Sus scrofa: one gene and its partners. The protein of the gene in region 4 interacts with the protein of the main gene of each other region in a pairwise test. Links are inferred from orthologs where the notes say so. Each region holds a gene or a part of one and is shown on either strand. Other genes may lie near its edges. The genes, in order: OTX1, CREB5, GEMIN4 and SPRY1.

Region 1 (4,249 bases), on a different chromosome or scaffold from region 4:
AGGGGTATGCAGAAACGCATCCTGGAAAACATTTTCAGAGGGAATAAATGGGAGTGAAGGAATGAGAGCTAGAAAAGAAAGCCAGGATTTGGCTTAAGTCGTCCAGCAGTGCAGAAGTTGGTGCAAGCCACCACTCTAGAGGACAATTTAATTGGGGGGTAAATCTCCCTTCCTCAGCTCAGCCAGTCGTTTTGCATAAGGCAAGTCCTGGCCCTTCCTGTTAGGGCCTAGCTAAGTGTCCAGATTCCTCATTCAATGTTGGGGGAAAAGCATAGTTTCACACACACATAGAGACACACCAAAAACAAACAAAAAAAGCCACCCATGGGAAACAAATCCTGGGTTGGCAGTGAGGCCACAACAAGAGACAGGGGGCCGGTGTGACCCCTGCTTCTCACGTTTGGCTGCCCTGGCCCTCCTCACCGACTGCTGTGCCCTGCATTGCATGAGAAGACTAGGCAACCGGCTCCCTGGACCTGCTTTGGGACAAGCCTGTGCTCAAACTCCAGAAGCCGGGGGTCCCCAAGATTTGCAGGGACTGGTGCTCACCGGGATAGCCCACAGAGGGGTGCAGGAGGTCCATGGCTGGACCAGCCAGTCCCAGCCCATTCATTCCGTATGGGGGTTGTTTGAGGTAAGACATCATGCTAACAGCTGGGTGGAGGCGCCCCGACGGATCCAGGGGGCCTGGGCCAGGCGCAGTGCGGGCCTCCCACTGCGAAGTCCTTCAAGCTCTGTTGCGTCTGGGGCCAGGCCTATGAAGACAGGATATATGCAGAAACCATCATTCTGAGCCATCACAGCTTCCTAGTCTTGTCGGAGGCAAGGAGTCACAGGATGGGGAAGGGGGAGTAGATTATGGAACTATGCAGGGCGGTCAACTCGGCTCCATTGAGGCCCAAAGGCCAAGGCTTCTTAGAAAAGTAAACTTTCCTGGATCGTCATTTCCTCTTTTGGGGCTTGGAATAGGGCGACTCTAGGAATGAGGAAAGGTTAAAATCAGGGCCAAATTTGGGAGGTCAGAGCCTGAACTACAGAATGCACTAGGTCCCAAGTCTAGGCAAAATTCTTGGTCGGGTCGGAGCCGGCCTCACTCTGAACAAGCAAACATTATTCGCAGCGCCCACGCGATAGTCGGCCCAGAACAGGAGCGGTTGTTTCAGTTTGTTACAAATGTTTTTAAAGTGGGACGAACAGGTAGACACGAGAGAGCCTAGGTGAGGCACTGCGGAGGGCTGGCAGCGCCTGGGCCTCTCTGGGACCCACTGCCTACTTAGGAGAGAACGTTCCTTTCAAGGTCTCCGGAGCTGGTTCCCCGGCTCCAGACCCCACAGTCTCAATTGACCTCTCTGCTCCCAGCCGCCCAAAGATTGCTTACCCCGAATCCTACCCACATCTCAACCACAGTTACTGGCCCAGGTTCTGGAAAAGCGAACAGAAAGGGCCCCTGTAGAGGTGGCGGTTCTAAGACGTGGGCTGAGGTCAGGGGCGCCTCGCCACATCCGCAATCCTTCTTCGCCAGCGCAAGGTGGTCCTTCTTTATGATCTTTCCTGGCTGCGGACAATCGGGTCCCGGCGGGGGTGAAAAGTGACCGGGCCAGCTCCCTCAAGGGTCGGCGGCTTTGGGAGGCCTAAGCGCAGCAGCTCCGGTGCACTGCCTGCCTATCCTACTAGCTGAACTCTTGGCCCCGGGACCCTATCGAGACTAGAGAACTAAGGCCCCGGCAGCGTGGCTTGCGCTGACCCGGGCTGGAGGGTCGAAGCTTGGTTTCTCTGGTTATCCCCAAACTGAGGCGCTACAATCAGGGGTCAGGAAGTGGCTCTGGGGGAGTGGGGATGAGGCCCAAGAGGACCTGTCGCGTCATCCCGCTTCACGGAAACTCAAAGCAGGCCTGGGACCCGGGCTAGGGAGTTTCGGGAAGGAAGAGCTAAAGAAGACGCCCGGTCCTATCCCCATCAGACCCACGGCCTAGGCCGGGGAACCCAGTTTGCAGGGAAGGCGACAGAAGGGAAAAAGCGGGGGCTCTACGGCCAGAGGAGAATGTAACTCAGCCGCCGCGACTCTGCTAGGCTACAGCGTGAGTTTTCAAAGACTTTCTTCAAACTTAGCACTTCAGCTCTTTACTTCGGAGGAGGCGGGGGAGGGGCGCGGGGCCTCAGCAGAGCTCTGGGGTCCTCCGCTCACCAAGAGGGGAGCCAGGCCGCTCCCCAGCCCCGCCCACGTGCCGGGGACCTAGGAAGCGGGGACCCATTTGGAAAGGGGGAGGCAAGAGCAACCGACGCGTTCATTCCCAGAGTCCCGGGCGGCCCGCGGCTTTCTTCTTACCTGCCCTCAGCTGCCGGGGCGGCTCACCATCTACCTCGAGCCCTCACACTGACCCTCTGCGCAGCCAACCTGCAAAACAGAGCCGCACAGGAATTACCCGCCGGGCTGGGCGGTAGGTCTAGGCCCCCCGGATTTCTTTCTTCCAACTTCCCTCCTCCCCTTCTCTTTCTTTCCAGTGGCTTTGTGCGTGTCCCTCCAGGTTTCACTTTATTGCACGGACACTTTGTTTGCAAAGCCCTACACGCTCCCGAGACTACCTCGCCCGAGACCGCGCCAAGGGGCCGCAAGGAGGAGGGTGGGGTAAGAGGGGCAGAGTTGGGAGGTGGCTCTCGGCTGCGGTTCCACTCTGTGCAGCGTGGAGGCGGTGGGGGCTGGGGAAGTCCTGCAGAGGCACTTTGCAAACTAAATAAATCAAGCGATTTACCTTGTCGGAGTGGCTTGTCTCGCTGGGTTGTTTAGGTGATTGGAAATGTAGCCTGATGAAGATTGATCACCTTTCTACTGCCCTCCCCGGGTATGTGAACGCGAGGTGAGTGCGTAACGGGGCGAGGCTGCCAATCCCGGGCCCCGCGCGGGCTGAGTGACAGGGAACCGGGCAATGGCAGCACGAGCCGGGGGTTACCTCCGCGCGCCCCCGCCCTCCCCCGCCCCCTGCACCCCGCCCTCACCGCCCGCCCGCCCCGCCCCGGTCGCGCGCTAACTCAGGGGCTTGGCTGGCAAACGCGGCGCGGAGCAAGGCGAGGAAAGCCAGCGCAGCGCGGGAGCCCAGGCCGCGGAGGGGGATGCTAGTCCCAAGGCCGCCCCGGGGACCCCCGCCCTTCTCTCGCCCTTTCGGCGCCCTAGAGGGAGTGGCTGAAAGGAGGCGAGGTGCTGGAAAACCGGTTCCCTCGCTCTCCGGCGCGCCACCCGGCTCGGCGGCCCGTGGACCCCGGAGCCCCTCTCCCCGCGCTTTGGGTCCCAGCGTCTTCATCCACCGCGCCACCACCTGCAGACGGACGCCGCGGGCGGCTCGTGCCGGCACAGGCTACTTTGCCGAGCGCGGGAGCAGCTCCTAGTGCGCAGATCCCGCCTCGGCGCCTCAGGACTCCGGCGTTCCGGAACAGCACCCGTAGGGGAGGCACCGCCGCTTACCTGCTCTTCGGCGTCTCCTGGGGTTTCCAGTCTCCGTGAAGAGTGTTTGCAAATTCGAAACGCTTCTTCTGAAATGTTGGAGCCCAGAGTCCCCTCCCCCTTGCACACACACTTAACTTCTGAATCGAAAGATTTGGATAGGAAACTTTCTCTTTCACATTGTCTCCTTTTAGGTCTCCTTCTTCTAGGGACAATCTGGTGGAAAACGCAGCCACAGACCCCCGCCCTCAATTTCTTTTCCTCATTCCGCAAGAGCCTCCTTGAGGCGATCTCCCCGGATTGTTCGTACTGGCGAAGCCCATTTCCCAGTCGAACAAACTTCTCAAACACCTCTACCTGGGTGGACTTTTCAAAGAGCAAAAAAAGTGTTTTCGCTCTAACACTGAACAAGGCAATTCTTTTAAATGGCACCTCCTCCTGAATATTAGGCACGACTTTTCTCCCTTTCGAGGAATTCCTACCGCATCTTCCTAATCCCCCCGCCTCCCTTCCAGCCCAACAGGCGGAGTGAAAAGTTTGAACTGAAATAAGTGTGAGGGCGAGTCAAGGAGCCGCCGGGCGCTTCGCGGTGGGGAGTGCCGGCACTGTTGGGCCTCGGGGTCGGGCACCGAGAGCAGACCCGGCGCGGGGCGAGGAGGTGGAAAAGGAAGGGGGAGCCCGCTGAGTGAAAGGGGGCCGCGGCCGCCGTTCATCAAAGTGCTTCCCCCTCCCCCAAGCGACACTTTCCTTTGGAGTCCGAATAAAATACGGTAACAGAATATGATGGAGGGCACACTGTTTCCTTAACTGCTT
Region 2 (3,568 bases), on a different chromosome or scaffold from region 4:
TCTTTTTTTTTATGCTTTTGCTTTTGTTTTGATTTTTTTAGACCCTATATTCAAGTTAGGAGTTTCACTGGAAACTCAAAACTTTCTTTTGAAAGCACTGCATACATGAAAAGATCGCTGACAAATACTGATTTAAAAAGTAAATTATTAGATACAACTGAAACTAGTTATAAAAACCATGCTTCATGACTCTTATATTTTCTTTTTTTTCTCCAAAATAGATTCTTACACTATAGTGAGAGAAAAAAAATCCTTCCCTTTTCTGAACTCTTATAAAAGCTACACCTTTTGTAAAATACTATTCTTTTAAATTCCATAATCTCCCTTTCTCTTACACACACACACACACACACACACATGCACGCGCACACGCAAGCACAGTCACACTCACGTCCCAAGGTCAAGCATTCAAATGGAGATGAAACAGCAGTACCTGCCTACACTGCTAGAGAAAATCATTAGCCCCAGCGATTTGTGAGATGCACTATTAAAACCTTAGCATAAGTAGAATGGCTTGTTTCAAGGAGGCACAACTGTGGTTCAGGACTACCTGCTCTTTCTAATGGGCAAAGTCCACGCAAATTGCTGAAAATAGAAATCAGAATTATTCAGAAAAGTGGAGTAGCCATGTCCACGGGATTCTGTCAGCAGCTGAAGAGCACTTTAACTGTTGTGTGAGGGCAGAAAGCACCTCCATGGAAATTAGATTTCTTTCTCTCTTTGTTCTTCCAGAAGTTCATCTACTTTCAGCCACTAGGACAGCCAAGCTGGTTCCATAGGCTTAAGGAAAAAAAATAATCTTAGGCTATTAGCAGCTGATGATTGAACAATGTAATCTGTGTAGTGCACAGAGCCCTTCTGAATTATTATATAGTACATGGATTTTCAACATTATAGACACGCCATATAAAACCAGTTGTAATTCGAGGGTGTGACGTTATAGCTTGGCATTATAATTTGGACTTTTCACAATTGACGCTTACAAAGTTCCCTTCCCCAGTGTCTCCACAGCTGGCATTCAACAGTGCTTCACCTATGGCTAAGCCAACTTTTATTTGCTCTGATTATTAAAAACATTAAATCAGGCACATTAAACATCTCCCGGTTACTAGTTTGTAAAAAGCAAGAGTTGAATGAAATCCAGCTGTAGGTCACAGGCAAGGGAAGCCACGGCTAGGTCCACATTAGCTTTTTTTTTTTTTCCTTTAAATATTATTTTCTTCTTTACATGCAATGCTAAAGGTGGGGGGGGGGACTACAACAGAAGAAAGTAAAAATGAAGAGTCAACAGGGAGCCCAGAGGTAAAAGTACAAAAGGGAATTTGGGCATTCTAGGAAGTGGACCAAGAGGAGGAGGAGAGGTGGTAAGATGCTTGGTGGTTTTATGTGGATGTCGATGGATCTTACACTTTTTTATGATAAAAGAAAAGAGTTGTGGGGGATTCTGGTGACATCACAGCCAACTCAACATGAGTTATGATGTCATCGGACCTCTCCCCCAGTTGCCTTGCAATCTGTTTACTGGACATCTAGGTAAGCCTCATTTTGGCTAAAAGCTGCGGTTTAACAAGATTCACCATTTCTTAGGCAAAGGGTTGGACTGATAAGAATGAAACAATGACTATATACAGAAAGAGTTCAGTTTATAAACAAGAAACCGGTACCAGAAAATTGGAGAAAAGCACCGAAGCATTTCCCAAGCGGATAGATTATTAATTGCATAACTCCCTTTTTTTTTTCCTTATATAACTAAGTATAAAAGACAACATTTCCAATAATAACTATAAAAATGAAAGCCAGTCTTCGAAGGGCTGAGGAGTCGTCCAGGTCTGAGTGAATTCTAAAAATGCCCTTAAAAGAAAGGACGCAGGAAACACGACAGCTCTTCTTGGAGGCAAGGTCTGACCCTCGGGTTTTAGAGAATCGGATTCAGGTCTGTTCTGTGAGTGGTGAGCTGACTGAGGGTGGAGCTTCCTACCACCTCGCTGACGGCCGAGGACGTGGTGATAGTATTATGCTGGATGACTTGCTGCTGAGAGCACGTGGGGACAGGGCTGGCGGGAGGGCTACTCTCTGGACCTAGGGAAAAACACACACACACACCCCAATATAGCTCCTTCTGGGGGGGGGGTTGGGGGTGACTCCAAAGACAGCGCTAGGTGTTTACTGGAAATAGGAGGGTTTCACACATATTCTCCCTGAGGTTAATTTCCAAACCATCTTTTAAACTACTGTCACAAAGCTAGGCCTTCCCAGTCTATAGCCACAAGCAAAGCCATGCTTTCTAGATCAGCAACATGATTTGATGGGCTTGAGTCTTGGCGCATGAACGCCCCATCTGGTCTTTTCGAGTCGCCCTCCGTCTAACAAATGTGGAAGAATACTCAGATGTGGTGGGAGAATCTGTGTTGTTCCATCTAAAAAACTATTTGAAGAGACACTGACCTTCAGCCACGAATCCCTGCTCCTCCTCCCGTCCCCACTCAATTAGCGTGGCGCCTATTGGCCTTCCAGGTGCAGAGACTGGGATCTAGGAAAAGGGACCAGGAAAAGGGACCCATCTTTGCATATTGGTAAACTGAGACCTGGTCACTAGCTTTGTGGCCCACTGAATACCATACTGCACATCTGAGACACTGGATATGATTCACCCACAGCCTGTTTCCCAGCCCATAGATCTCTCTGGAAGGCTGCTTAGCCCACTGGAATTGGGCTCCTACTGACTGCGGAATTGGAATTTGGTAGAATTTTACAGTCTGAAAGGTGAGGGAAGGTCTGGCTAGAAATTATCAGAAGGTGGTGGAAATGGTGAGGAACAGGGGTCAGAAAAGAAGGATTCCCCCTGGGCAGCAGTCCAGCAGCCACTCCAGAATTCTAGCAGGATTTCTGCCTGGGTGTGCACTCTATGTTTGTTCTTTTAATACAAGCCAATGTGAAATTAGCGGCAAAAACCAAGACACGAAAAAAGCAAAAAGTCAATGACTTACTTAGATATCCTTGTGATTCTTTCTGCATGGCTGTTATGGGGCAGTCTTTATGCGTTAACAACAACTGTTTCAGCTGTGCCACTTCATTTTTCAACATGGACACTTCGTTCTGGAAAGAGACAGATCAAAGCCATGTGAAGAAGACCAGAGAACACAAGCCCAAGGCCCTGTGCACTTTAATAATACAACGGGCACACTTCTGTCACGTCTGGATGACATTAATAATATTATTTAACAGGACTTACCTGAAAATGTGTAGCTTGCCATCACTTTGGCCCTCCCACTTACCAGAGGCTTTCTGAAGAGACTAGGTTTAACTCAAGAGCTGAATCCTATTAAAAGTCCCGAGTTGAGACGGTGAACTCGGGACCAGGCTACTTGGGTGGGACCCTGCCTTCTACACTGACTGGGGATGCTGGGCAGGTGACATAACCCGGCCGAGCTCCAGCAACCTTGTTTTTCAGACAGGGATGCAAAGAGTACTGTGTTCTTGGAGTTGCTGGGAGGATTAAATGAGGGAAGAGACGTAAAACACACAGAACAATGCCCAGCACACACTAAGCTCTCAGTAAACTTGGCTC
Region 3 (2,489 bases), on a different chromosome or scaffold from region 4:
CCACAGATACCGTTCCCTTTCTGGTGTGTCCCTCAAGCCTTCTCACCGGATCGACACACGCAGGATGCTCTTGTGAAAACTCCAGGGTAACAGCAAGTGACAGCTACTGCACTATTTGCTGCGTAACCCCCCTCTTTGACATTGTCCTTCTCATATGAAGCAGAAAGGACTTCTGTACCCCAAACCCTGAGATATCTTAGCTAGACTGCCTCCCGATAAGCCAGAGCCTGTGGTCCAAAGCCTGCTCCTATCTGAGTTACCACCGCGTGGCCCCAGGAGGCTGGAGGGCAAGAGCGCAAGACAGCCCTGGCCGAAACCTGTCCTTGGACGGACTTCTTCACCTGCCATTTGCAAAGAGGATACTCTGGTGCCAACACTAAATGTCCCTTAACAAGGATGGGGTTTAGAACCCGCTACCATGAAGTTTTTCCCCAAGAGGTAGTTAAAAAACTAGGTTTTTAAAAGTGCCTTTTACTTAATCCATTGTTGTTCGTGAACTTTTAAAGTACTGAATGTGTAACAGTGTCTTCGATTTTGACTATTTCAGTCTTTAATGGGTGCCATTTAAAAATCATAAAATGCTGTAATTTTTTTTACTGTTTTGTTTACCATCAGTGTATCCTGATAAATCACTCCTGTGGTGATTAAATTGCACTAATATTTTCCAACTCATTCTCGTTTGTGAAATACAGCCATACCAACTCTAAGATCCATCCTGTGACCCAACGTGAATGGCTGCCGTCTGCTCGTTTCTGGCCTGAGTTCTCATCTAAGCGGCAGGGGGGCCGGCTGCCGGGGCGGGGGATGTGTGAGCGCTTTCCAGCCTCCAGGAGGGCCTGACTCACACCTCTCTTGAACATGATCCTGTAATTCTGGTTCTGGGAAGACGAGGCAGCGTTCCAGAGTTCAGGCCCAGTGGAATCATGGACCTTTAGGCCCTTCTCTTCCCAGGTGAATCCCAACTAGGAGTCTGTCCGGAGGGCGCACAGCCAATGGGAGGCCGTGGAGCCAGCCCACTGCAGGGGGGGAGGAAACGTGCACAGGCCCTCGCTCTGACCGGGGCGTGGATCTGACCGGGACGGGGCTCCTCCTGTCCTTCCTGGCCTCCCAGGTAGACACCTTGCCGGCCAGTCCTCATAGCTCTGTCACAGATGCTGGGCACGTGAAATTCTCATTTTCACGCATCTTTGCACACCATCCCTGCTCCTGCTCATTCTTTAAACTGTGACAACCCATCCGAGGCAGAAGATAATTACACCCGTCCCCTACACACGCCTCAGCTGTGTTTACCAGGCAGTTTCAGCACAGGCCCTTGGGGATCCACTGAATGACGGGGGGGGCGGTCAACTCTGTGGGGCATCTTCTGAAGGTCATTGATCTGCCCCCCAACATCTCATGTTCTTGGTCCAACCCTCTCCTTTCACAGAGGCTGCAGGCCCTGGAGACACACCAATCACAGGGCCGCCTGGGGGCAGAGGAGGGTCCTTTCCGTAGTTGCTGCCCCTTCCAAGAGCCCTCAAACGACTCTTACAACGAGTCCCAGTACACAACACCGCCCTTGTGATGGGGCCACTTGGGTGGTTCCCCCTTTAGACTTACCTGCCAAACTCTCGGGTGGAGGCCAGTTACGATGCTGTTCCTCCCGGCCTGACCTGATCTTTAAGACGGGCTGAGCCCGAGTTCAGAGTGTGTTGCCGAGCCCAGACCACTGATAAGAAAGGCTCAAAAGAGGAAAGATGGGCGTTCCCTTTGCAGCTCAGTGGGTAGGAACCCGACACGGCATCCCTGACGATGCGGGTTTGATCCCTGGCTTCGCTCCGTGGGTTAAAGAACCGGGCGCTGCCGCAAGCTGTGGTGTTGGTTGCAAATGTGACTTGGATCTGGCGTGGCTGTGGCTGTGGCGTAGTCCCACAGCAGGTGTGGCCCTAAAAGGGCGGGGTGGGGGAAGGCGGTGGGGGGGGGAAGAAGAGGCAAGATGAAACTCCAGAGAGCATTTTATTATAATTTGTATGTTACAAATACCTAAGAAACTATTTTCTTTGCACTGCTACTGTCACATTTTTGGGCTTCTGTACAATGTCACGTACCTGGAAAGTTTGCGTTTCTCAGCTCAGGGCCTGCAGACCCCGCCAGGGTGAGGCCCAGCTATTTTCTGATCCCCGAGGTCAGAAGCTGCTGATCTTCTGCAGCAGGGTTTGGCGCCGCTCCTCAGGGGTGATGTTCTCGGCAATGGACTTTAAGAAGCGCTGCTCGTTGACTTTCTGGAGCAAGGAGCTAACGGAAGGGTTGGTCTTGCTCAGGGTCTCGTAGCAGGTGAGGATCTCCAAGGCCAGAACGTAGAGTGGTTCGCACAGCTCTTGGTGGAGCATGGCCATGATGTGCAGGACATGGCAGAACACCTGCGTGTAAAAAAAGAGGGCTTCCTGGCTCAGGTCCTGCTCTTGTCCTTGGGCCCAAGGGCCAACGGACTGGATCAGCCTCACTGAGTC
Region 4 (3,237 bases):
GTTTTGGAAATCCGCGGTGATCCTTAGGATGTGATGGGATTGGCCGAAAAGGTATTCGACTTGGATTTGGGGTTTCTTGGGGCAAACAGGCGATCGAGAACCTGTGACCGTGTTTGGAACTAGATGGAGGACTGTCACTGCTTGAAAAGGGGCTTTACTTCAGATCAGAGGTGGCTCTTTCTCTTTGCTTTCTCCTTTTATCTGGTAGTCTCCTTTACCGCCCAGGATGATCTTCGTTACAACTAGCATTTAAAACTCAGATTCGGTTGTGCCTGGTGTTTTTTTCTACCTTCAGATCCACGGGTTTTTATGTGGGTTTTTTTGTGTGTTTTTTTTTTCGCTTGGAGTCTGACTTAGTACTTTTAGATTATTTTTGTTTTAAAAATAGTGGGTTAAAAAGTTTTTTGCGAGGCAGAATGATATTGTGCAGAATAACCATGGAGTATTTTGAACAGCCCTTAAGAAATCCAGGACTAAACCCAGCAGGTTGTGAATGTGTTTCTCCTTAAGTTCAGAGAAGGTATAAGAAAGTGGAAACGTGAAGATCTGCTTTGGGAGAATGAGGGAGGGGAACTGCAAGAAGTTAACGTGTAAGACTTAGTCCAGCGACACTCAGTGAAGTTGATAGATGAAATGGTCTTCTTTCCGATTTATTCCTTAAGCTGATGTGTTTGGCTCAAGGTAGAAGTGGAGAATGGATTTTTTTTTTCTTTTCTTTCTTGAATTGGATCAGATCTGTAGACTTTGGGAGGAATTTGTATGAAAATAATCTAATTTACAACCTTGAAAACAGAAATGTTTTTAAGTTCGATAGTTTGTTTTATGGAGAATACATTATAAGTGAGAAATAATTTACTCTTGGTATAGAAACGCAAATGCTTATTTTCATCAGGATATCACTGTACTTTATTACAAGAAGCACATTGATTCGGAGTTGGCAGTGCTTTTGAAAATCAAGATCTGGCACATAAATACAGATTTTTAAATTAGAGGAAATACAGATAATTAAAATGGCCAGGATTTCCCAATACTACTTTAAAGGCCTAACACTTATTTGTGCATGAAAGTTATCTCGTTAGGTGAGTGAGCCCTTATTTAAACTTACAAAAAATCTTTTCATGATTTCAATTGTGAATACTCTTAACACTCACCGAACTGTATATTGAGTTTTCTGTGTGTTTAGAGGCTGTAAAACACCAAGAACTGTATTTGTCTATGTTCATTTTTGCAATTTGTAGATTAATTAGCTAGTTTTAAAATTTTGGTTTCTGCTGTAAATGACCTTTTATTTCGAGATTTCATTTTAGTTTAGAATCTCTTGAATTTTTTTTTTAGTGCATGGAGTATACCTTGACTAATTTTTCACCATTAATCTAATGCTTGTTCACATCAAATAACAAAAGGCAATGGCACCAAAACCGTTCTTAATTTTTTTTAAGGTGGATGTTTTCCTTTTTGGAAAACACCCATGAACTGTTACTGAGCTTTCTTTAGATGAGAGCTGTTTATTAGTGCTTATACTCAGTATTCCCCACAAGGGCGTACTCCACTTTAATTGTTTGTTAGATTCACAAACAGGAAGATATTACTTCTTGATTCTGCTTTTTAAAAGTTGAAAAAAACTCCTAATTCTTATGGCGTGGGGTCTCTTGCTTACATTCTTCTTCTATGATGTGGTCCTTAGTCTCTCTTGGAATTGGACTCTGGCCAGGACCCCAGCATCATTGTAATCCGCTGATGAGGGAGATCATTACCAGGTGGTTTAGGCAATTTGTGACTTGATGGGATTTCTCGCCTCCCCCACTTCCCCCAAATGCTTCTTGTCATTTATTTTTCTCTCTCTCTCTTTTTTTTTTCCATCCTTGATTTCCTTTTAGGATTTCAGATGCATGCCAGGTTTCCACTGATTGGCAGAATTGAAGAGCACTACACATGGATCCCCAAAATCAACATGGCAGTGGCAGTTCATTAGTTGTGATCCAGCAGCCTGCTTTGGATAGCCGTCAGAGGCTAGACTATGAGAGGGAGATTCAGCCTGCTGCTATTTTGTCCTTAGACCAAATCAAGGCCATCAGAGGCAGCAATGAATACACAGAAGGGCCGTCAGTGGTGAAAAGACCTGCTCCTCGGACAGCACCAAGACAAGAAAAGCATGAAAGGACTCACGAAATCATACCAATTAATGTGAATAATAACTACGAGCATAGACCTACCAGCCACCTGGGCCATGCAGGACTCTCAAATAATGCCAGAGGCCCCATATTGAGCAGATCAACCAGCACCGGAAGTGCAGCCAGTTCTGGGAGCAACAGCAGTGCCTCTTCCGAGCAGGGGCTATTAGGGAGGTCACCACCAACCAGACCAGTTCCTGGTCATAGGTCTGAAAGGGCAATCCGGACCCAGCCCAAGCAGCTGATTGTGGATGACTTAAAGGGTACCTTGAAAGAGGACCTGACACAGCACAAGTTCATTTGCGAACAGTGTGGGAAGTGCAAGTGTGGAGAATGCACAGCTCCCAGGACCCTGCCATCCTGTTTGGCCTGTAACCATCAGTGCCTTTGCTCTGCTGAGAGCATGGTGGAATATGGCACCTGCATGTGCTTAGTCAAGGGCATCTTCTACCACTGCTCCAATGACGATGAAGGGGATTCTTACTCGGATAATCCTTGCTCCTGTTCACAGTCACACTGCTGCTCTAGGTACCTGTGTATGGGAGCCATGTCTCTGTTTTTACCTTGCTTACTCTGTTATCCTCCTGCTAAGGGATGCCTGAAGCTGTGCAGGGGGTGTTATGACTGGATCCATCGCCCAGGGTGCCGATGTAAGAACTCCAACACTGTCTATTGTAAGCTGGAGAGCTGCCCCTCCCGGGGTCAGGGTAAACCATCATGATTCCTGGAGGTGGGTTGAACCTCCTGAACTGCTCAATTTCAAGCTGTGGCTGTTTAAAAAGATCCTATTAGATACTGGTTTTGTTTTCTTTACCATTCTTCCCTGTTTTCCACCTTCTCTACCCCTCTTCCCAAGGTTTGACTCATGGATTTTATTCTCTAATGGATGATCTTCAGTAAGAGTGAACTGTGAAACTGCACCTGGCTCCGCCTTATGACAAGAGCCTCTGCCATCCACTTGAGAGGGTATTGAAAGCCAGTGGGCTTCTGTGTAGCCTTTTTGTTCTTCAAGCAACTTTCCAAAGTTGTGCATGTGAACACACACACACACACACACACACACACA

What was found.
Region 1: the proteins of SPRY1 (region 4) and OTX1 interact in binary tests that used the Homo sapiens proteins (3 or more experiments, as listed by UniProt). The two-hybrid records come from large-scale screens. The link is inferred for Sus scrofa from reciprocal best matches to the Homo sapiens genes SPRY1 and OTX1.
Region 2: the proteins of SPRY1 (region 4) and CREB5 interact in binary tests that used the Homo sapiens proteins (3 or more experiments, as listed by UniProt). The two-hybrid records come from large-scale screens. The link is inferred for Sus scrofa from reciprocal best matches to the Homo sapiens genes SPRY1 and CREB5.
Region 3: the proteins of SPRY1 (region 4) and GEMIN4 interact in binary tests that used the Homo sapiens proteins (3 or more experiments, as listed by UniProt). The link is inferred for Sus scrofa from reciprocal best matches to the Homo sapiens genes SPRY1 and GEMIN4.

What each region holds. Positions count from the first base shown.
Region 1 is NC_010445.4:78,900,221-78,904,469, forward strand, and holds the start of OTX1 (homeobox protein OTX1), read right to left. Parts: upstream 2,826-4,249; 5' UTR 2,751-2,825; intron 2,396-2,750; 5' UTR 2,327-2,395; intron 756-2,326; 5' UTR 647-755; coding exon 550-646; intron 1-549. UniProt on the Homo sapiens protein: Probably plays a role in the development of the brain and the sense organs. Can bind to the BCD target sequence (BTS): 5'-TCTAATCCC-3'.
Region 2 is NC_010460.4:43,844,922-43,848,489, forward strand, and holds part of CREB5 (cyclic AMP-responsive element-binding protein 5), read right to left. Parts: intron 3,097-3,568; coding exon 2,988-3,096; intron 2,080-2,987; coding exon 1,916-2,079; 3' UTR 1-1,915. UniProt on the Homo sapiens protein: Binds to the cAMP response element and activates transcription.
Region 3 is NC_010454.4:47,114,741-47,117,229, reverse strand, and holds the end of GEMIN4 (gem-associated protein 4), read right to left. Parts: coding exon 2,166-2,489; 3' UTR 531-2,165; downstream 1-530. UniProt on the Homo sapiens protein: The SMN complex catalyzes the assembly of small nuclear ribonucleoproteins (snRNPs), the building blocks of the spliceosome, and thereby plays an important role in the splicing of cellular pre-mRNAs.
Region 4 is NC_010450.4:100,857,572-100,860,808, reverse strand, and holds part of SPRY1 (protein sprouty homolog 1), read left to right. Parts: exon of another isoform or gene 1-51; intron 52-892; exon of another isoform or gene 893-1,079; intron 1,080-1,877; 5' UTR 1,878-1,932; coding exon 1,933-2,892; 3' UTR 2,893-3,237. UniProt on the Homo sapiens protein: Inhibits fibroblast growth factor (FGF)-induced retinal lens fiber differentiation, probably by inhibiting FGF-mediated phosphorylation of ERK1/2. Inhibits TGFB-induced epithelial-to-mesenchymal transition in lens epithelial cells.